3 linked regions of the Astyanax mexicanus genome follow. The protein of the gene in region 1 purifies or fractionates together with the protein of each later gene. This does not show direct contact. Links are inferred from orthologs where the notes say so. Each region holds a gene or a part of one and is shown in the gene's direction. Other genes may lie near its edges.

Evidence for each region. Proteins that work in one complex are often made in the same cells at the same time.
Region 2: the proteins of sav1 (region 1) and ras association domain-containing protein 1 purify together in Homo sapiens (affinity purification with western blotting; 3 studies listed by BioGRID, with this or other methods). This does not show direct contact. The link is inferred for Astyanax mexicanus from reciprocal best matches to the Homo sapiens genes SAV1 and RASSF1.
Region 3: the proteins of sav1 (region 1) and lats1 purify together in Homo sapiens (affinity purification with western blotting; 3 studies listed by BioGRID). This does not show direct contact. The link is inferred for Astyanax mexicanus from reciprocal best matches to the Homo sapiens genes SAV1 and LATS1.

The regions. Positions count from the first base shown.
Region 1 is NC_064414.1:39,086,174-39,093,784, forward strand, and holds the start of sav1 (protein salvador homolog 1), read left to right. Parts: upstream 1-4,546; 5' UTR 4,547-5,138; coding exon 5,139-5,232; intron 5,233-7,156; coding exon 7,157-7,611. Other genes in the region: nin (ninein), read left to right, coding at 964-1,077, 1,187-1,402. UniProt on the Homo sapiens protein: Regulator of STK3/MST2 and STK4/MST1 in the Hippo signaling pathway which plays a pivotal role in organ size control and tumor suppression by restricting proliferation and promoting apoptosis.
Region 2 is NC_064412.1:14,811,485-14,819,421, reverse strand, and holds the start of ras association domain-containing protein 1, read left to right. Parts: upstream 1-4,882; 5' UTR 4,883-6,322; coding exon 6,323-6,641; intron 6,642-7,937. Other genes in the region: zmynd10 (zinc finger MYND domain-containing protein 10), read left to right, coding at 694-819, 1,502-1,623, 1,701-1,826, 3,164-3,263. UniProt on the Homo sapiens protein: Potential tumor suppressor. Required for death receptor-dependent apoptosis. Mediates activation of STK3/MST2 and STK4/MST1 during Fas-induced apoptosis by preventing their dephosphorylation.
Region 3 is NC_064408.1:49,370,473-49,378,077, forward strand, and holds the start of lats1 (serine/threonine-protein kinase LATS1), read left to right. Parts: upstream 1-4,550; 5' UTR 4,551-4,769; intron 4,770-6,592; 5' UTR 6,593-6,716; coding exon 6,717-7,070; intron 7,071-7,583; coding exon 7,584-7,605. Other genes in the region: nucleoporin Nup43, read left to right, coding at 79-305. UniProt on the Homo sapiens protein: Negative regulator of YAP1 in the Hippo signaling pathway that plays a pivotal role in organ size control and tumor suppression by restricting proliferation and promoting apoptosis.

The DNA.
Region 1 (7,611 bases):
GGAACAAACAGGGTAGGCTGAAAAGTCCAGCAGAGTATTTGCATGTTAAATCATGTAAAGTAAAAGCATGAAACTTTCATACTGTGATCACGTTGTGTATAATACACACAGTTTACGCTGAGGCACCATGCTGTAGATCAACCAACATGATAAAATAAGGTTACATTTCAGTGGTTATGTTCAGGGTATTTGTGTGTTGAAATGTGTTACACTACACCACAAGTTTAAATCCTGAGAACTTGAAGACTTGTATTGTTGCCCCTGTTTAATGATCTGTATTTTTTTTTGTTTGTTTGTTTCTAAAACCGTATTTTCTTTGTTCCAGGGGTTGGTTTGTTTAAAGTCTTTGTGATTTTCCGTAGCTCAGTTTATTGCACTATTTTCTCTTTGTGTATGTGTTTGTGAAATAGTATAGCTCAAGTATTTTTTGAGTGAATGTTGAAGCTTAAATCGTGTCCAACAGATAATGGTTTACAGGGATTTTGGTGTCGTCAACTTTCCAGTGTAGAAGTTCAGTGTAGAAGTTTATCTGCGTTCGTAGTACTTTTAAGTAGAAGCTATTAAAAGTTATTAATTAATTTATTTATTTGTGTTATTTGAGTTAATTTTGGAGTTTATTTTTTATATTTTATTTATTTATTTGTTGTTAGTGTTTTATGTTTTATTTATTTAAGTTGTGTTCTGTTTCTTCTTTCTGACCTTAAAGTATTAATAAATCTGTGAAACTGAGACCAAATAAAGAATCAGGGTAAATTTTAAAATTGTTTGTTGCTGTGTTTTTTTTATGTGTACATTATTTTACAGTAGTTCTTACAAATGTATACTGCATACTGTATTATTTTGTCCCTTAGCGGGTTCTGATAAAAATCTACTCGATTGGATGACCAATTATGATCTGCGGTATTTACGGACTTAGGCTTTGCTGCTCAAGAACTCTGTTTAACAAATCCTGTTCATCTACAGGAGGAGCGGGAGCTGGCACTGCTGAAGATGGAGGAGAGGATGAAGGAGGTGGAGCTTACACTCCGAAATGTCAAGCTGTTGCTGCAGGAGAAGGTTTCTCAACTCAAAGAACAGGTACATGCAAATGCACACCACCTCAAACACTTTGTACATTTTTATTTTTCTGTTCTTTTTGTGCAGTAATGTAAGGGTTACAGTGGTCTTTCTCTTTCTCTCTGTCTAGCTTAATAAGAACAGTAAGGCGGACGTGCTGATTAAGGATCTGTATGTGGAGAACGCTCAGCTGTTGAAGGCTCTGGAAATGAGTGAGCAGAGACACAAAGTGACAGAGAAGAAGAACTACCTCCTGGAAGAAAAAATCTCCAGTCTCAACAAGATTGTGCGTGAGCTCAGTCCCTCACCCCTGACTCCTGTGCCCTACCACTTCACTCGCTCCTGATAATCCAGTCTACACTACGTTTGTTTGTGTTATATTATTTACTTATGTTTATTTTAATTTATTTTATTGAATAGGCCATTAAGACATCATTTTTGGTTCATTATTATTGCAAACCAATAGAAAACACTGATTACAATTGTTAGCTAATAATAAACATTAAAATTTCATTAGACTGCAACAAAATTCAGGGAGTCAAATTCAGGCTAATTTTTTCCCTTGGTGTGATTTGGTTTGAAGTAAGAATATGATCTGACTTCTATTCAACCAAACTATCGGATGTGCTCTGCAAGTCTGGGCTAAACACATTTTTAAAATGGTTTATTGCGCTAGTCCAGATAACAGGGTCCTTTCCCTGTATTGACTTTTTCTTGCTCCCTCCCTACAGATGTGTGACCAATATGCATAGAGAACATTACTGCACTTGGAGTTTCCCTGTGTGAAAACAAACCAAACCAAGGGGAAAACTTACAAACTATTTAACTAATTCAGACCAGAGCAAAGTAACTAGAGGTGTGAAAACACCCTTAGACTACTGTGGTGTTCTTCACACGCACAGTTAAATGTTTGCTGTTTCCTCAAGTTCAGTATGACTCTTGATGGACCTTAGGCATTGTTTGAGCTCTGGGCATTCAGCCAAAATACCATCAGTATGTGAAGAAATGAAACTGTTAAACAATTATGAATGACTACATCTTTCCCAACACCTGTGTATTTGCACTGTGACTCAGCCTTTCTCAGTATTTCTTAGAGATTACAACCATCTCATGTCCAGCTATATTTCCCAGTTTTGTGTTTAATATGTTCAGTACTGAATTAGCTTGAATTCATTTATTTAATTATGACCTTTATTTTGATAGAATATGAAGGGACACATGGCTCAGGCTGACTTTGGGTTGCAGTCTGAAACATCCTGATGTTAAAGTGCACTTTATTCTGTACAGAATCAGTGTTCATTTTGATTGTCTCAAACCAACAGACTTCTGTGTTTGAAGCCTGTCTGTCTGCTTGGGCTTAAACTGAAGGCACTAAGTGAAGCACAACTTGTATTAAAATGAGATTGTCTTTTAAATGTTCTGTTTTTAGCACTGTATAGATCACTGTGAATGTGTTTTAAAGAAGCATTACTTTAGGGGCCAGTGTACACAGCCTTGAATAAATAAGCCTGCAGTGCCAGTGGTGAGTCACCATTGGGAATTTTTGTTGGTCTTTGATGAGGCCTAATGTAGGTCTGAGGAAACTGACCTGAAGACATTTTGTTATGTTAATAACTTGTATTATTCTTTTTCTTCAAATGGCCATGTATCTTAAGAAACAGGAGCATGTTTAAAACGTACATCACCAGCATGTAAAGGGAAGCCAGTTCGGCTAAAGGAAACTACCTAGTAATGTAATGAATGGAAGGCATCCAGTAATGGTGCTTGATGCAGGAAGTGTAACTGTTCTACAGTGTTTAATGTTTTCTGAACAGAGCCAAAGAGACTTTTCCCTGTTGCCACTGGCCATCAAAAGCTGCTTTTGTCTATCAAGTGAACTGACATTGTATTGGCCAATCAGTGTTTGTGTGAAACGGTGAGATGCAGTAAACAGTTTTAGAGAATGGGGTGTTTGAGTGGTCATTTTCTGGGTTTGAATGTGGAAGCTTCCGGATGCTCACCCACCCACCTGGCCCACTGTGTGTGCTGCTGTACAGTATAATAATGAAATCCACTAATCAGGGGTAAACTTTTTTTGCTTTCTTCTTAACTTAGTTTATAATAAGCTTATAACAGTTAAGGGTAACATTTAAAAGAATTACATACATGTTATAAACAATCACATACTTAAAAACAAAACATAGAACAACAAATGGGTACATGAATTATAAAAAAGATATAAACCCCAAACAGCAGTATATGGGTGACTTTAAATTAATCCAAATTAATGTTTTGTGTTCTTAACAGCTTTCAGATTTATGTAATTTCTTATCTTTTCTCGTTGGACCATCTGTTTTCTGCATTTATTTTTTTTAATTTATGATCTAATATTTACTGTAATATGTGATTAACAAAATTATTTGATTTCAATAGGTATTTTTATATATATAAAATAAAATTGTAAAGGTAAAACATATTCCACCCCTTGTATTATAAACAAATGAGGTACATCTATCTGAAACAGTGTCCTCTGAATACAAAGAAAATATATCATTTTGAAAAGTGCAATTTTCATAAATTTTTTTCTATGTGTTTATAATTTCAACAGGAGATGTGAAAGTAATAGTTTTAAGACACTTTGTGAACTGTAATCAAAGGTAAAGTATTCAGAACAGCTAAAAGCAATCCACAGCCAGGGGGCATACTTACACATTAATCACAGTCGGTTTTGTTTTCTTGATTTTAATAATTCATTCATTTTACTCAAACATATACCTATAAATAGCAAAATCAGAGAAACGGATCCAGAAACTGAACTGTTCTTTTATTTTCAAAAGTAGAGTTTGGCTTATATTTAGACCATTTTATCTAGATACTCATTAGATACCTGTTTTTTTTTTATTTTTTTACCTTGATTCAAAACAGTTCAAACTGATAGATACAGTTCCTTTTTCTACCAAGAAGGTATAGGAATGTACATTATAATTTTAAACATACTATAAACACTTTTAACAGGGAACGTGTTTAATGTGTGTATGTGTAAAATCTTAAAAGTAACTTCTTTTATTGTTTTTTTTTTTACAGTATCAAACATTTCCCATGTTTCAATACATATTTACTTATGGCTTTTTTTTACTGCATTGAACATGTATATTTAAGGATATCCGTTTTAAAAACATTCTCTGTCAATAAAATAACTATAATTTCGCTTTTAATAATTTTGTTTAATGAAAGGGTTCAGTTGTATGTAATAAATGACTGAGCTGGGGTCAGGTTTGTGTAAAATCTTAAACGTAACTTCTTTTGTTTTAGTATTTTTACAGCAGCAAACAATTCTCATGTTTCAATCCAAATTCACTAATTATGGATGTTTGACGATATTGAACATGTAAATTAAATTATAACAGTTTACAAAAAACATTCCCTATCAATAAAATAACAATATATTTTTCATCTTAATAATAAAAGGGTTTAGTTGTGTGTAGTAAATGACTGATCTGGGGTCAGGTTGGGGAACAGTCGCTGGGTGCTCCTGTGTGTCTGCGTGCGTCAGTTCTCCCACAAAGCCTTGCGGAGGAGCGGACTGGGACTGGGAGCGCTAGTGTTGCGCTAGCTAATGATAGGGGCTGGGTAATTACGGAGCAACAGGCTAACTACACAACTACTGCGCAGCGTTCACTTCTAAACTTATTCAGCAGCTTAAACTCCCTTACCCTCGGTCGGTAGAGCCCCTACACACTCGGGAAGACCGTGGCGCGGTGTGGAACCGCGTGTGGAGCTCTGTGTTGAGTCTGAAGTCTGCAGTTGGGAAAGTTTGAGCTGCGCTAGAGGTTAGCAGGCTAATGGGCTGCTGCTCTGTTGTTGTCCGGATGCGGAGCTAACTGACTAGCAGGCTAGGTCGCTATGGGCTGCGGGGCGGTGTGAGGAACCAGCCGGAACCGCGGAGGATCAGCTAGGTTATCAACCCGTCAGTGGTGTGAAGATGACCGCTGTAGCGTTAATTCCTCAGGTCCAGGAACGACACGGAGGGACTGGTTCGCAGGATGCCTTCCCCGCGGTTATTTCACTACAGTAAAACCCGCCGCCGCCGCTGCTTCTGAGCGATGCTCTCCAGAAAGAAAAGCAAGAGCGAAGCTTCTAAACCAGCAGAAGTTCAAGGGAAGTACGTGAAGAAGGAGACGTCCCCGCTGCTGAGGAGTGAGTAAAGTTAAACCCGGGTAATTTAGCCTGAGATATAGTTAGTTAGGTTAACTAGCTAGGTTATCACTGTATAGTTTTATACTGGTCCTGTCATTCCCTCTTTAATCCCCCATCATAACATACCTAACTGGTACACTCTCATTCTTATATTGCACTATTGTCTCGTGTCTTATGTCTCACGTATGTCTATATCCGTGACATTGTTGTATTGTAAGTTAGTTACATTTAGTGTCTCTCATTCTTTTATTATTTATATATTTAATTTTGCTGTACTTTTTGTAACTTTGGGAAGGAGAGTAACGTAGTTTCAAACCTGTACATATGCAGTGTTGACAGTAAAACTACTTGACTCGCTCACTAGGTTCCAAAATTACATTTATTTTATTTTAACCTTGAGAAATCACCCAAAAACTAATAATTAGACCTGTTCTTAATGTAGTTAGCTAGTTATCTAACCAGTAATGTATCATATTTAGAGCTAAAGCATTTCACTGAGAGGTTTTGGAGACCCCATTTAACTTTACCCAGCTTTAAAGTGCCAATAAGAGAGTAAACCATTACTGGTTTAAAGCTACCCACGGAATACAATTTATAGAAAATGTATTTATAATTTGTCTACATCTATCTATGAATTTGACAGGAGAGCTCTGTGTTTCTGTCAGTGTTTTTAGTTAAGTTAGGCATGTCCTGATGTTTTTGTGGTTGATGTATAATCCTAGAAATTATTGGAATAAATGATATTAACCTTTGAATGCCACTGAAACAATTATGACAGAATAATAGAGTAATATATAGCATAACAAAGCAATTTCACCCTTTTAAATACAACAATTTTCATTAATCATAAATATAATTTTTTTTTCTTCAACTTCAGTCCACACTGTGTGTATGGAGTCACAGTTATTAAAGCACTGATTGGTCATTGCATGACTGGTTTATACGCTGTTCACTGTTACATATGTGAACAAACATACAAATAATCACAATAGATGATATCACGATTATTAAATAATATTGAGGCCATGTCCATTTATTGAACGATAAGTCAAAAATGTAATTATCATGACAGGACTATTTTTTAGTAATTAACTCAGCTCATGCGGATGATCTCTAAAAATCTGTAATACTTATTAGAAGTGTGCCATATCACATCGTAAGCAATGATTTTGTTAAAATAGGACATTGCGATATTCTTGCAATCAGTCTATTTTTTATTTGTTGTGTTACATACTTTATTTACTTTTAACAGTTTGTTTGCAGATCATATCCATGCACTATTTTATGTAATATTGGAGACTTTGTGATTTACTGTTAAAGTATATATTTCAGTAAAGATATTTTTATTATGTATAATTTTGTTATTTTGTTATAATTTTGAATATTATATATAATATTCTTTGTCATATCGCCAAGAATATTGTTATCTCAGAAATACTATACAGATATTACAGATATTCTTTCGGGCCATATTGCACAGCCCATTTGCTCATATCAGCTTATTGAGTTCAGTGTCAGTGATTCTGTCTCTTTTATACTTTTTTTTACACCAGCACTTAGGGATAGAGCAAATATTGGTGCCAACACTGATTCAAGGACCACTGTTTTATATACAGAGTGCAGTAATTTCTATTCAAACTTTCCTGTCCTTCATCCAGTTAAACTTAACTAATTTCGCTTATGTAAATAAATGGGCAGTTGCCTCAAATTTTTATAAGCACTGATGCTATCCTCAACATGCTTAAAAAAAGTGTATTTTGTCAATATGCAAAGAAAGTTGATCACAGTGCGTTGAAATATAATCCCTTTTCTCATCTCTAGTTTTATGTAAAGTAGAAAACAAGATGTTTATGCAGTTATGTGGACCTTTTTTTATCCATCATCCTACCCATTACCTACTCACCTGCATCCCATTGTTCCACAGATCTTATGCCCCCGTTCATCCGTCATGGCCCAACAATCCCACGGCGAACTGAGGTGCCGTTGCCTGATGCCCCTGCAGTACCTGGTGCAGGGGCAAATGTGTACCCGCTGGGCTCAGCGGCGGAGGCAGGAGCACGAAAGAGTTTTCTCCGTAGTGCAGCCCCACGACCCCCCCACGAGGTCTCCCGCAGAGAGAGCCACCGTCTGTCTGCCCCTCCATATCTCCCTCGCTCTCTCTCTGACCTTCCCCACGACTACTCCTCTTCCTCGCCCTCCTTCGTCAGTGACGGTGGGCAGATAACAGAGAACGGAGATGGAGGTCGGTACTATTATGCCCCTGAGACTTACTATGAGAATCAGCCTCGTCGCACACGTAGGCCTGAGCATTTCCACGATGACTATAGATATTACGATCACAGTGAACTCAACTACAGGGTGCCTCCACAGCCCCAGACA
Region 2 (7,937 bases), on another chromosome or scaffold:
ATATCTTTATGACACTAATCCACACTTTCTTTGAGCTCACTCTAAAAGAAGGAAAGTAAATGAGCCTCATTCTTTTCCAGCTCAAAGCTGTTTATTCTCCACAGTTAGCTCTTGAAGCATGTAGTGTTGCTTTATCGTTATAATCCTTCAGGAAGTGGTCTCTGCTTCTCATTCTCACTCTCTGCCAAGTCATTGTCTTCTGAAGCCTTATCTGATCTTCCATAATGCTGATGAGAAAAACACTGCGCACCATCCTGCTGTTTCTTATTTTTAGAGGAGTTTCCTCTCTTTATCCTGTTTTAAAATATTTTCCCTATTTTTTCCTTTATCCACACATCTACTATATAGTTACAAAAAAATGGTGATAAGTATCATGGTACAGATATATAGTGATTTTCTAAATCAAATATATATTATAAAGGAACACAATCATATGCACAAAAGCTGAGTTCTCTTTTTATCCAATCTGAACAGTGGGATCTGAAGAAATTTCTACACTACCATCTCGCAGTCTGGGTTTAAACACAAAATGAAATGAACCATTCATAAACAATCTATACTGTATGTCAAAACATTCCTTTTGATACCTCAATATTTCCGTACAACCCAAGTTACATTAATTATATTGTTATTTTTTGCCATAATGGGCATTTGTTGATCTGTGTCTGTTGTCTTTTGTGTTCATGTCTGTAGCTGTGTGGATTTTTGACGGAGGTTGTTATCGATCAGCTGCCCAATCTTTCTGATCTTCAACGTTTCCTCAGTCATCTAGCTGTTACAGACCCGGCACCACCAAAAAAAGAACTCATCCTCGAGCAGGTACACTGCTGCTACACACACACTTTCTTTATCACTGTATTGCTAGAGAGGTTGTGAACCCATTACAGTTTTTTTGTATTTTCTGTATTACACTTAAATTCAAATGTAGATCTTGGATCTTGTCTATAATTAATTGAGCCTTTGGACCCAGGGCAGAAAAGCAGCCTGATAATGCCATCTCCATGCACAACAGTTGGGATATGGTTCGCTTTCCATTTAAACAAAAGTTTTCTGTTTAAGATTTTTCTGTTTTCTAGGATTTTTCTGTTGTCTGTTTTTGTTTTCTGTTGCCATCCATGTAGTATCCAGTTCTTCACTTCAGATGTGCAGCAGTGTTCAGTGTCCTTGCCCTTGGACTATAACCGTTGTGTTAAGTTACCTCCATTTGCACATAATCTTTCTCGTATAAGTGGGTTGCTTGGGCATTCTTAATTCTTAACTTTTTATCCTTTCTTCCTTCCTTTTTCTCCTTTGTTTGAGCCATTCCACAAAGTTCTGTGGTGAAGATTGTAAAGTTTATGTTTTTTTTTGTTATCCAATTACAGGTCAATTATGTAGGCATACAGAAAACTGTAAAGGGTTTACGTTTTTAAATAGATAAATGCAGATCATACGCCATTAGAATCTAAATCAAATATACTGATTTAATTAATAAACCATTTCTGACTAAATACTGTTTTAGCTTCCAGAAATTTGGAATGAAATTGTTGCTGAGAATTCTGGCAAGTGGAAGGCTATAGCAAAGCATCAGGTGCAGAAAGTGTTCAACCCATCCGAGAGTGAGCTGAGACAACAGGCAAACAGGTGAGTTTTAAATTTAGAAATGTGCATGCAATGTGTGATTAGTTCAGTATGATGAGCTGTGTGTGCCTGCTCCCCAGGTTGGCTGAGATGTATAATCTTGATCTGATGGAGAGTCTTATACCGGATAAGCCAAAGTGCGGAACTTGTGGTGCGGAGGGGATCAAACGCTGCTCCCGCTGCCAGGGGGAGTGGTACTGTAACAGGTATCCTACATTTACCTAACAGCAAATATATCTCAACCCTGAAACTAAGGAATCTGTATTAAATTGGATGTTTTGGATGTAAAATTCAGACCATGGCTACCTTTCAGAATGGTAGGACTAGCCATGCTACAGTGCCCCCAGAAACGGAGAGGGTTAATGGCCTTGTACAAGGACTCAAAAATGGCATTTTTTGAGCCTTGTGATCAGTAAGTCAGTGCTTATATTTGTATTATATACCTCATGGCTACTGATAACACTGGCATTATTGGAACAGCTGTGAGGTTGCTGACAGTGTGCATGCAGTGGTGTTTCATGCTATCTTATGAACACTAATACTTTTGGTTGTAAATTTGCATTTAATTTGGGCATTTTTCATTATACGACTACAAAAACAAAAAATAGTGGATTATGGATTATGGATCTAGTTTGACGTTCTAATGTACATGCAGCTCTACACACTAGGGGTGAGTGATATGGCCCTAAAATAATATCACGATATTTCACGGTATTTTCGCCATATCGATACTCTTGGTGATTTGACAAAACACTAAATTACAAAAATTATTTAAAGAATACACTACTGCAACAAAAGGAAATTTGTATTTTATTATTTCATACAATACGATATGACACACCCCTAACTGAGGTATTAAAAATACAACAATTGTATCAGATTTGTAACAGAAGTCAATGATCCAGAATGTCATGATACTAATAATGAACTCCAAATATCTCCATATATCCAGGATTAACGTAAAATAAATGATATTGGAGAGATATGATATGTCTCTAGTAGATATATAATGGGAAACGAGAAGAGTGTAAATTATTTTTTTGCTAAAAACAGCAAAAAAGTAGTACCCTGGTGTGATAATTAGGGGTGGGTGATATGGCACGATATTTCAGGGTATAATATTGTTAACGATATTCAAAAATGTTGGCGATATTGTTGCGTCTGATACGATATAGCACACCCCTACTACACACACATAGTTCTTTCTTCCTGAAAACTTGTTCTATATTTGAAACCAAAAAATTCGCATTATGCACTATTTACAGCTTTAATTCAGTTTTGAGTTCTACAAAAGTATGTGTCTTTCAGAAACATTCACTAATGAAATTCAGCAACTCCCCACAGGTTTCTGTTGTGAGTCAGTGTGTTTTCTGGCTTTTTATAGTTCTGGGGAAATGATTCTTACTGACCGTATGCCACAGAAGCTGAGGATAGAGATAAGATCACCAGACAACTAAAGTGCACTAGACACAGCCACAACTCTTTCAGACTTTGATTAGATACCAGCTACATTGTTCTAAATAATACATATGTTTCCTTGTAGAGAGTGTCAGGTGAAGCACTGGCCCAAGCACAAACTTGCCTGCCAGCTGATGGCAGAGGCCACAGAGAAACTACAGAAGGAGCTGAACATCAAGACCTGAGCAGACCGAAAATGGAAAGAGGCAGAGACTTCAGATGCAGAATCACAGAGAAGAGCAGACAGACAAATGACTAAACTCCATTATCACACTGACCTTTGTAGAATGTGTTGCTATGGTTATGGTGGTCATAATGGGAACTGAGGAAGAGAAGGAGTTTTCCTCTGCTCAAGTGAGCAGAGCATGTGCATGTTTTTCCCTGAAAATGTAAAAAAAAAAAACTTTTATAGTTCTCATAAGTGTTAGAACATTCTGCACACTGCTTCCCCATGACCAAAGGTATATGTATGAACAATGCAGATGCTTTATCCTTCACTCTCATTTCCCTGTACTTCCCTTTTGTTTGTTGGGTGGTACAACTTCTGGTACACAATATAGGCTACTGTTTGTTTCTCAACATTGAAACCCTGACTTTTGGCTAATACATGCATAAGATATATGATAGCTATATGTTGGTGCCATATGTTAATAAACACTTTAATAAATCTCCAGTGAATTGAACAACCTTGAATGTTTTTGTACAGTTTCTGTGTGTGTGTTTTGATGGCTTGTTTGATCCATATAATTACACAGTGACAAATTAGTTTAAAGTAAATTGAAGTCCATTCCTAGCACTCTAAAATATATGATGTTTTTAATCCTGTACACATTTTCCCATTAATGGGAGAATTGCTGTCGCATTCTTTTAAAGTGCCACATCATTTTTGGAATACTGTCTCATTATTTCGACTATTTCACAGTAATGGTTTATCACAAAACTATGAAAAAGTGTTTCGAAACAATGACTTAGTTTCTCAGAACAATGAAATGGTATCTCCAAACAATAAGATAATATCTCATAATAACTTAGTATATCAAAACAATTTGAGGGTATCTCATGACTTCGTGTCTTAAGACCATGTGAGGGTGTTTCAAAACAATGAGATATATATCTGATAATATTGACTTAGCATCTTAAAACAATAATAAAAATGACTCTCAAAACAATGTGATGGCATCTCAAAATAACTAATTAGTATATTAGAACAATGAGACATTATCCCAAAATAATGACTTGGTGTCTCAAAACAATGTGAGGATATCTCAAAAAATGTGATGGTATCTCTAAATTATGGCTTAGCCAACATTATCTTAAAATAATGACTTTTCTCAAAACAATATGATGGCATCTCAAAACAATGAATTAGTATCTTAGAACAATGAGATATTATCTCAAAATGACTTTGTGTCTTAAAACAATGTGATGGCATCTCAAAATAATGAATCTTAAAACAAGGTGAGGGTATCTCAAAAAATATGATGTAATCTTAAAACAATAGTAGTAGTAGACAGTATCTCTGAATCTCAGATAGTATCCCAGAATAATGACGTAGTACCTCAGAACAATAAGATATGAGTATCTCAAAATAATGACTTGGCATCTCAAACTAATGAGACAGCTATTTCCAAAACAATGGAAAAAATATATTTGGGGATTTTGTAAGTGTTTATAAAAAGACCAAATCATGGAAAATTTACTTTCCTTTTAAATTTAAAGAAAGTTTGATTTTTTTATTCAAACATGCTAATCCCACACGCGCACACACACAGGCACAGCATACACACACTCACACCCACAGAGGGCATGGCTGGAGAGCAGGCTGTGGGCTGGAGTGATACAGTGTGATTCTGCAGATGTAGTTACAGAGTCTTTAGCTCGCTGGCTGGATCCACTCAAAACCCAAAATAAGAGAGAAGAAGAAACTTACCACTCTTCTCTTTTACCAGCAGGAAGGAAAGGGGTTATTTCGTCGCTGCTTTGAGACATATCCGAAGAAATGACGCCAACATTTCGTGAGCCGTGGACGTTATCTTTCTCTGCGTTTCGCTATAAGCAGAAAAATGGAGACGAAGCGCTGGATTTGAAGCTGCTCAAACCCTCGTTCATGTGAAGGCGATTCCTGGAGCTTACCGTGGTGCTGTCTGCTCTTCATACCCGCGGGTGAGCTCTCAGCTCGGTGTCTGAGCTGAAGACAAGCAGCAGCCTTTTCTCTCAGCGGAATTGTCTTTTTAAAACTTCACCAGTCCTCTCAGCCATGCGGTAGGAGACCACCAAAGTTTTGCTTTAAAAGTGCTAGGTTAACATTTTATCTCAGACATAGTTTTAAACCTAACGTTTTTTAAAAGTAGAAGTACAAAATGTACTATACTGTATTTTTATAACTAGGGTGTCAACCAAAGTCTGTTTAGAAATCTACCTTTATTTAGGAGATATATGTGATACATTCTATATATTCTTTTAAAACTAGTTTTTAAACTATAGTTAACTAGGTAGGTTATGTAGGATAACTTATCTTTCCAGTGGGAAAGTGAATGTATTGTAGCTTACCTTTAAATCTCTTTTCAACCACTCAACTGGTCCTCAAAGACCCTTGTTGGAAAGTTTATTTGACATTTTTTCATTGTATGTGTTCTTTGAAAGACAGCATATTTAGCCGTTACCTGTACAATACCCTTAATTCTGACACTTGTATTGTATTTGTACTTCATCCTTCTTCTTCTTAATCTAAAATTTGCCAAACAATCTTTAGCCTGTCTCTTAATCGTATGGCTCTTAAGTATTATTATTATTTGACCTAAACCACAGGCCTTTCCTGAAACATCAGCAGATCTCATTTGCTCATGTTTTTCACCACAGAAATGATTCAAAGAGCTACCTAACCCTAAAACCACTTGTCAGGCTGGTGTTGATTCTACATTTCAAAGCCTTAACAAACTATATACTGTGATGATTTCTTAAAGTTAAAAAGACCTTTAATCTAAATGTCAGACATCATTCAAGGTCATCATACATAACCTGACAGACTAAGTTTAAACTGCACTGACTGCAGTGGAAAAGAACAATGAAAGCCAATAAAACCCCGCATTTTTTGAAGTCATCAAACCAAAAGTCATTACCTCTTAACTACACATCATGATGCCCAATGTCTGAAAAAAATGGCTTATTTCAAATGAGTCAAGGCAAGAGTCAGCTACAGTTGAGTGGACATACTGGACAAGACAGCCGTTGATCACTGGAAAGCATGTCTTTTGGTGAGATGATTGAGCTTAAAGAGCTCACCATGCTGGAGGGCCGCATTGAACTTACTGCTTCTGCACCATCTCGGACTACTCGTTTGGAGAGGGTCAATGCATTGAGGATAAGCCCAGGGAAAGTTCCTGAGCTGATAAACCGGGTCAGGATCATCAGACTACTGGGGGACTCTATGGATGACCCAAGACTTGTGGATGATACAGGAGAAGGCCATAACTTTCAGCCCTGCAGCCATACTCAACCCACGTGGTGTGACCTGTGTGGAGACTTCATCTGGGGGTTGTACAGACAAAGCCTTCGCTGTACAAGTGAGTATCACCTTCATTGTGCTTCCTGTGAATTGAATGAAATAGTTTATTCTTTAACCCCTCAGTCTGAAGCCCTCAAACATAATATTGTAGTTACCAAATCTATCAAGTAGTTACATAGTTAATACATGAACACAGTTTAGGATTAACAACTTAATAACAAGCTAAATGTTTAAGGAAGTTTTGTATAGTGCAGTCTGTGATGTAGATTTACATCCATGCATCGACAAGCTTAAAAGTAATGAAAAGTAAGGTATATGATCCACATAATCCATGAATGTTCTCGGTATATAGTCGCTATCCAGCAGTCTCTAAAACAGCAACTTTTACAGAAGAGAGAAAAAACTTGTATAAATATATTTTTCAAGATAGGATTGTCTCTCAGTTTCTCTTCTTTTCTTTTCTCTTACAAAATGAATGGCTTGTCACACACCCCTGTTAGTGGTTGGGTTTTTCTTCTCTACACATTTCCCAACACATTCCCACAACCTCTCAGTAAGATTTATATCTGATGAGTGATTGTATTGTAGTAGTATTATCTGAACTTCCTTATTTGTTAACCAAATTCATCACTGGATGAAAAGCGTGGCATCTTTCTTTGTTGTATTATTTTATTGAGTATAAGTTGTAGTTATTCAACAAAAAAGAAATGATCAGTAAAAGGAGTCTGTAAGAAACACGCAGAACAGTTAATGAGTTGTTACAACTACAACTAGTTAATCCTCTCACTCTACCATACATAACATAATCTTCTGGAGTTTGCTCTAAACTATTTTTTGGCACCAAACACAAAACATTAGAACATGCTGATAACAGTAGGATAGTTATTTGACACATAAATAGGTTGGCACAAAAATGTGAATGTCATTTTACAACCCTGTTATTTTGATAATAGATCTGTATATTTCATTTATTTTATAAAAAATAAACTTGTGCTTTCCCTTCTGATGAGTCTGTAGGTCCAGGTTGATTGGTCATTTGAGGGAGTTTGGATAAAAGACAGCTAAAAATAAATGCTGGCATCTGCCTGTGTTAACGCCCTTTTAAGTCCGATTTGTTTTATGGACAGGAACAAATACCTATTTATGGCGCCCTAAAATGAAAGACTTCAACACTGTTTGATACTCTGCTTTGTTGGATGTGTTAAAATCAGACTGACCTATCAGAGGTTTATTTTCCTGGTCGCAGACCATAAAAATAAGTCTCACATTAGCAGATTAGAACACAAAAGCTTAGCTATATGAAGAGCAACTCACTGACTATAAAATTACAGATGTTAAGGAAAATAAATGACAG
Region 3 (7,605 bases), on another chromosome or scaffold:
TTTAAAAGTGCCTTGACTTTCAGTCTTATACAAACTTCAAATGTCTTTCCTCTTTTATTTTGTGTCTGTGTTTCTTAGGCCGCAACACCAGCATCATGTCCCGCAGTGCGGCAGCTCCTGCAGGGGGAAACCAGTCCCTCATCAGTGCCTGGCTCAATGGAGACTCCAGCAAGGGCAGGCTGGAGACCACTCACATGCTTCCCAGCCAGACTCTGTCTGTCAACAGTCTGGATGTGCTTGGACAGTGCTTAGTGTGTGGCACTGATGGAGAGGCAGTTTACATAAACAGACAGGTTCCTGTGTGATACGCAGCACCAAAGAGTTGTGATTTATTTTCAGTAAATGTTCACCTGACCAACAGTTTTTGTTTGTTTTGTTATGCTTTCCTTGGATAATGCACTTAATAAAAGAGTGATCTTTTTATTTGAGTTTGAAAGTGTGCACTGCATATGAATCGTCACAAAGTTTATCAAATGTTCGCCAAAGAGGTCATTGCATTGTAAAAAAATGACAAGACTTTTATTGGACTATTATTTATCAGTCAATTCAACTTGTCTGTATTCCTGATGTAATTGTAATAGTTGTCATGATGTAGACCTTTTATTATTTACCTTTTGATATTAATTTGACTAGTAGGGGTGAGTGATATTCTTGGCCACGTGATGTTAAAATATATTTTATTAATTTCAATAATATATCACTGCAACAAAACAAATGTTAAAGTTTTATTTCGTAGAAATAATAGTTTCAAAAATTTTGTAGCAAACCAAATCTGTACATTTTGTTTATTTTGTAAACAACATAACATACTAAGGCTCTAATTGTGTATAAATAATTATTTTATGAAACAAAAAATGACCACACTACGGAAGCGCAGAATGTTTTAGGCATGCAGACACAATCATGCAAAAAAAACCTTTTCAGTAAATAGAAAATGTACAAAAAATGGACTGCTTTCAAAACCAAATGCTGCCATTAACATTTATTTTCTTCTTTTTTTCTTCAATGTTGATGTGTTTTGAGTGGTAAAATATAGCATGCCCTTTGTGACTAGATCGTAAGATTGATGAGATTTAACTACTTGCATTTACACTTGGTTGTCAGATGCATCTCCAGTTAGACTGAAATTTGATTTGTGTGTGGGTTGGATATGAATAACTCTAATTGGCATATTGCCCTATTGGCTGCCCTTTATATGGGTGTAAAAATGTTGAGTGACAGCTAGGGTTTCCTTTTAATGCAAAACAATCTGGTGATGTACCTGTCAATTAGGTAATGTGTCTAAAAAAATGTTGTTAAGTGCCCTCTAATTTGAAAATTGGATGCAGTGATCCATGTTAGGTGGGTAATTTTAGGAATACAGTTTGTTTTGCCTTCAAATTTAAAAACAAAATGTTCGCTTTTTATTTCCTGGCATGCATGAACTTGTAGCAAGTGTCTAAAACAGTGTAAAGGTTGTGATGTCACTGCTTTCCAACTTTACTTTATTAATAGTGCAGTTATGCCAAGATTCCAATAATTCTTGGACACGTTTTAATAGCTTGATTTAGTTTGAACTAAGTGATTAATTAAAGCACCTAAATTAGAAGTAGAGAGAGTTTTACTGCAATACAAGCAGGATAAACAATGAACAGGTACCCCAATGTCCATATTGTGTGCTAGATTAGTGTAGGTTACAAACATATAACATGCCCATATTAGTATAGTTTACTTGTGGTGTTTTACAGGGTTTTACACTAGGGCCAAGATAAAACTGATCTGAATAATTATAAAACTGTCGATCTGAGAGTGAAGGCCTGAGGTTTAGGGTTACATACATGTTCTAACTGCACACAAGCAAATGCAATATTAGGACATTTATGGTGGAAACATTGATTTCAGTCCTTTGATTTCAATATTTTAAGGCAAGCAGATTTTTATTTTCTTAGGTCATCCAGTGTACCACCTTGGAATGCTTCACATCACAGTTTGAGAACCACTGCCCTACAGGAACACAAAAGATACCAAGTTAACATGATTCACAAGCAGTTATCAGGCTTGCACACAAATAAAACCATATAACAATCGAATCAGTATATCTGAAGTACTAAAACCTAGCTACATAACTACTTTGATACAAGACTAGCATATGCTGCAAAGTCATGTCTTGTAACTGTTAGCATGGTTTGCTAACAGTTACAAGAACTGCCTTGATATCAAGGAACAAAGAAAGACTTGAATAATGTAATACAAACAGGATATACAGATTTAATGTAAGTATAGTTTGAATCATGGTTGAATCAATTTGCACAAAAATAAACATAAAGGGTGTCTAGCAGATCCAATATTGTGTGATTTTGCTTGCTAGGACAGGCAAAAAATGGATTACATACTATTTTATACATCATACATAGTAGTGCTCCACATACAATGGCAGATATATTAAAACTTTCCAAAAAGCATAGACTACAATATCATCCATTATTGTTGATGTGGAGGGTGATGCTGCATCCATATTCTTGTTGTTGTCTTTTTACTTTTTTTTTTAGCCCCTCTCCAATTAAATAGTGGGATCTGATTGGACGGTGATTACATTTTATTAAATTCTGTGGTGCTCCTAAACCAAATGCAATCCTGTGTAGAGTAAGGTGGTCACATAGGTGGAACATGGGCTAGGTGGATTGTGGGTGAGCATGGACTCATGAGGCCATATCATTAAAGGGCATCATTATTTGACTATTGACTATTATTTTGACTGTTTACATTCACAAATGTAAAATACCTGTATCTGTGTGTAATGTCAATGGATCTGTCCCTAAAACGCATCACATGCGCACATTAATGTAATTATGTGTATAAACGTCACCTTCTTCACAAACAACAAAAAATGTCATATGAGACACGACTCGTAGCTTTATAAAGGGAAATGGATGAGTTAGCAGCTCATATGTGGAGCATCTTTTGCTGGAGTGGAGAATAAACAGCTTGTCTGAAGAACATGGCCAGGTCAAGGAGTAGAAAAAAGGCCAGGCGGCTTGTTTTTGCTATTTTTCAACAATAGCCAAGAGATGTGTGAGAGAAGCACATAACGCATGCGTAAAGGCAAAAAGACGCATGAACTCTGATTTGACCGTTCATATTTTCGCATGTCCATGGATCGGATACATATCTGATATAGGACTGTATATGGAAGTGACTCAAATCTGATTTTAAATTAAAAACATTTAAAAAATAAATGGATTTGGCATGTTTACGGATTTTTTTAGCCTGGTAATATAAACGTATCCTGAATATTACGGCTCATATTTAGCCCTATTTTCAGTGTACAGCCCAGAGGGGGCCATGTTTAACTCCTCCTGGTCCCATTACTCACACACATATGTGGGGCCAGTTTTCCCACTCTAAAGGGCACTTTTAGTTATGTTTAGTTAAGTTTTAGTTTAGGAATGTGGTGTATTTTTTTTTTTTACATAAAAAAGTGGTGAGCACAAGATAGTAAGCAGTGAGCACCATATTGTATAGTCACTGATCTGTACATGACTTTACAGACTGCTACGTTGTGCTGTGCACATGCTCTGCAATCCTCTATCCAGTTATCAAAACTGTGTGGATTATTTAGCTTGTAATGTAGGCTGCTTTTGCAAAGATCGAGCAAGCTAACTTAAAGACAGCAAATTTAGCTTGGTTTAGTTTACATGTCCCATAAGAGTTAGCTGGTTATCGTTAGCTCTGGGCTTATAGCTACCTTTCGCTACCTATCTAAAACATTCCACACTAAAATAAAGTAGTTAAGGTTAGCTAAACTAGCTAGCTAGCTAAGAACTTTATTTCACTGTGAAATATGTCAGTTTAAACTATAGCTTTCTGGCTACCATTATCTGGTGCTCACCACATAATTTGAGGTGCTCACCACTTAGTATCTGGTGCTCACCACTTAGAATCTGGTGCTCACTACTTAGTATGTGAGGCTCACGCATACTATCTGGTGCTTACCACTTAGTATGTGGTGCTCACCACTTAGTATCTGGTGCTCAGCACTTAGTATGGAGTGCTTACCACTTACTATCTGGTGCTCACTACTTAGTATCTGGTGCTCACAGCTTAGTATGCAAGGTTCATCACCTACTATCTTGTGCTCACTACTTAGTATGTGAGGCTTACACTTAGTATCTGGTGCTCACCACTTAGTATCTGGTGCTCAGCACTTACTATCTGGTGCTCACCACTTAGTATGTGAGGCTAACCACTTACTATCTGGTGCTCACCACTTATTATGTGAGGCTCACCACTTACTATCTGGTGCTCACCACGTACTATCTGGTGCTCACTACCTAGTATGTGAGGCTCACACTTACTATCTGGTGTTTACTACTTAGTATGTGGTGCTCACCACTTAATATCTGATGCTCACCACTTTTTTACGTAATAAATACACCATGTCCCTTCAGGGGTTCCGTAAAAACGTGTGTGTGTGTGTGTGTGTGTGTGTGTGTGTGAGAGAGAGAGAGAGAGAGAGAGAGAGAGAGAGAGAGAGAGAGAGAGAGAGAGCTGAGCTGAGCTGAGTGATCTCTGTACGGGAGCAGAGTGAAGCGTTCACACATCCGGGCATCTCCGCTCTGACAGACTCGGAGTGCCAAGGCGACCGTGTCAATACAAAGCCGAGTCTTTAGCTGGAGCTAGCGGATCTTTCACACACTTTCACTGAGTTTTAGCGGAGTTCCTCGGCTCCTCAGACCGACACTGCGCTGTAGATGTTGTCTGGGTTCAGTATGGATATTCTTTAGTCGACGGTGAGTAACTTTAAGTCTGTGCTGGGTGTCCGGGCTAACGGCTAAGCTAGGCTCCGCTCTCCGCTCTGAATCGTTAGTGTTTAGGCCTCGGCGCTCTGCTATCACCAGGAGTGAACTTCTCCCAGCAGAAACACCGCTGTTTATAGTGTTTATTCTCAGGAGCAGAGAATTCAACACCGCAGGCTTCGAAATGAGCGGGATAAAACTAGTCTTTAACTAGAGTGGTAGCTAGTGAAGCTGTGCTGCTAACTCTGCAACATTAGCTTAGCTAGCTTAGCTTAGCTAACCTGAACTAGCCAGGCTAACGATCTTCTGTGTTCAACATGAAGCTCTGTTAGAAGAGTCGCTACTGAAAGATAAAATAACACCGTACATTTAAATAACTCTAGATAACATCGAACTAACCCTGTTTAAACACGGCCGCTGGAGGAGTAATGTTAATGTATCCTCTGTTGGTTGGTTTGTTTGTTTGTATAGCAGCTGGCAACTAATTGTTGCCCTTGTATAACAAAGTGTATTAAGTATATATATTTAAATTATACTCAACATGGAATTAAAATATGTACTTAAATGCATAACGTTAGTAAATGTACCATTTTGAGACAATTTATGGCGACTTAAGTATATTTCAGTTGTAATTAAGCTCTATTTAAACACAATATAAAAGTTTTAAATTGTGCTTTTGAGTGCTTTTTTTCGTATATCTTCTGCGAACTTAAGTGGATTTAAGTATGTGTTTTTAGAAACATTTTTAATACTCTTGAAGTATGTTGTAAATGTACTACTTTGCCTATTGATGCACATATTGTTCCTTATTGACACTGGGGAAAAATACACTAAAGTGCACTTTAAGCGGTATTTAATGCCAATATTTATATTTTCTATCGACACAACGTATCATTTAAAGCATATTGGTTAAAATGCATTTTATGGAAATACAGAGAAAATATGTTTAATTTGTATTTTTCATAAAGTATATTAAACCGCAAATGCATTTTTAATATTCTTTACCTAATTTGAACATACTTTTAATACTCTTAAGTACTTTTTAATACACTTTTTACAAGGGTGGCCAGGTTAGGTAGTTGCCTAGTTAGTTAACTAGGTTAGTTAACTAGCTTTATTTAGCCTTTATTTATCGCTATATAACTTAAATAATATATAATTAGTTGTAATAACTAGGTTAGGACCTGGGTGAGCGAAACAATACATTCAGATGTTGGACGACCTTTTTTTAAAAAAATAAAAAACTTGCTGAAAAAAAACGTAAAAGATTTGAATTCGTTTTTTGTTCAGCAGTCAGCAGTTAATTTTATTGCTTTGTACTTGTTACCTTTAGAGTTTTATTAGGCATCTTTGGGCTAGTTAAGTTAGCATTGGCTTAAACGTTAAAAAGTTGCTAAACAATTAGTGTTATTAATATTATTATAAGCTGTTAATAGTGGCTAGTCTGTGTTTAAAAAAAATTGTTGTTATTCTGGAAAGATGACTTCACACTGACGCTTTGCTTGTTTCACAGTAAATCTTCCAGGTACTGACAGCAGGGCAGAGCTCACATATTGTATCCACCTGCACAAATACTTTCATCTGAGGTTTACGTTGCAAACTGTGTAGAAGGATAGATAGCATATAGGTTTGTTTATGTATGGCTGTCTTATCAAAATAAGTGTGTGTCCGCTTAGACATAACTAGTGTTGTTGATTCTTGAGTTGATTTAGACTAACTTTATATCTAGACCTTTATAGTGAAACCATTCTAATACCCTGTTGTTCTTTCTCCTTCTTTTTGAATGTTGTTTGTTTGTCTGACCCTTGCATATACAGACACTTGGGCATCGCTCTGGTATGCAGGTAAAATCCACTGCTTGCTGTTAACACTTTCACAGTGTCACTGTGCACCGTGCAACATCTCATTCACACTGGGGATTGGTGAGATACATGGTTTTTCATGAAGAGAAGCGAGAAACTCGAAGGATACAGGCAGATGCGGCCGAAGACGTTTCCGGCAAGCAACTACAGTGGCAACAGTCAGCAGATGTTGCAGGAGATACGGGAGAGCCTACGGAACCTCTCCCGCCTGTCTTCTGATGCTGGCAAGGTGGAGACAGGTGGGGGCAAGAGCCTGCCAGAGGACCCGCGCCAGCAGGGCCGCAGTGCCAACCCCAAAAACCCCCACCACAAAGCCCTGCAGGTGATTCGAGAATCATTATTGCCATTTGCCAACGAGCCCACCTGCACCGGTCGTGGATATGAGGTTAACATGCAGATGCTACAGGAGCTGTTGGCGGCAGGCTTTGACGAGGTAGGAGAGCCGACCAAATACAGCACATAAATTCCCCAGCATGGGTTAACAGGTTTACAATATGTTTGTCAAAATAGGAATGTTCTCTTGTCAGGTGATCATTTAACATAGTTTAGGAATGACAGCAGTGGAATGTGGACAGACAAGTTTTAGCAGTAGTACAAGGCATGGCGCAATGTTTTGCGCACTTGTTTTCAGCCACAGTTATGTGTTGGATGCTTTCTTTTTGTTAAAATTTAAGCTCTGTTGGAGAAAACACTCTGATGTTTTGTTTGGTGGAATAATTTAGGCATAACATTTTCTTATAGCCTGCATAAGATGTTTAAATGCAAGCTCTATTCATGTAAACAATAAAGGAAAGCTTGTCTTTTTGCGCTGTTTCATATAATTCACTTATTTTGTTTGCATTCGTTACCTGCAAAACAGATTAAGTAAATGTGGAGGCATGTTTGATGATAGTTTGACTTTTTAAATGTGTGATTGTGTTAAATGTGTGTGTGTGTGTGTGTTTAGGAGCTGGTGATCTGTGCTCTGA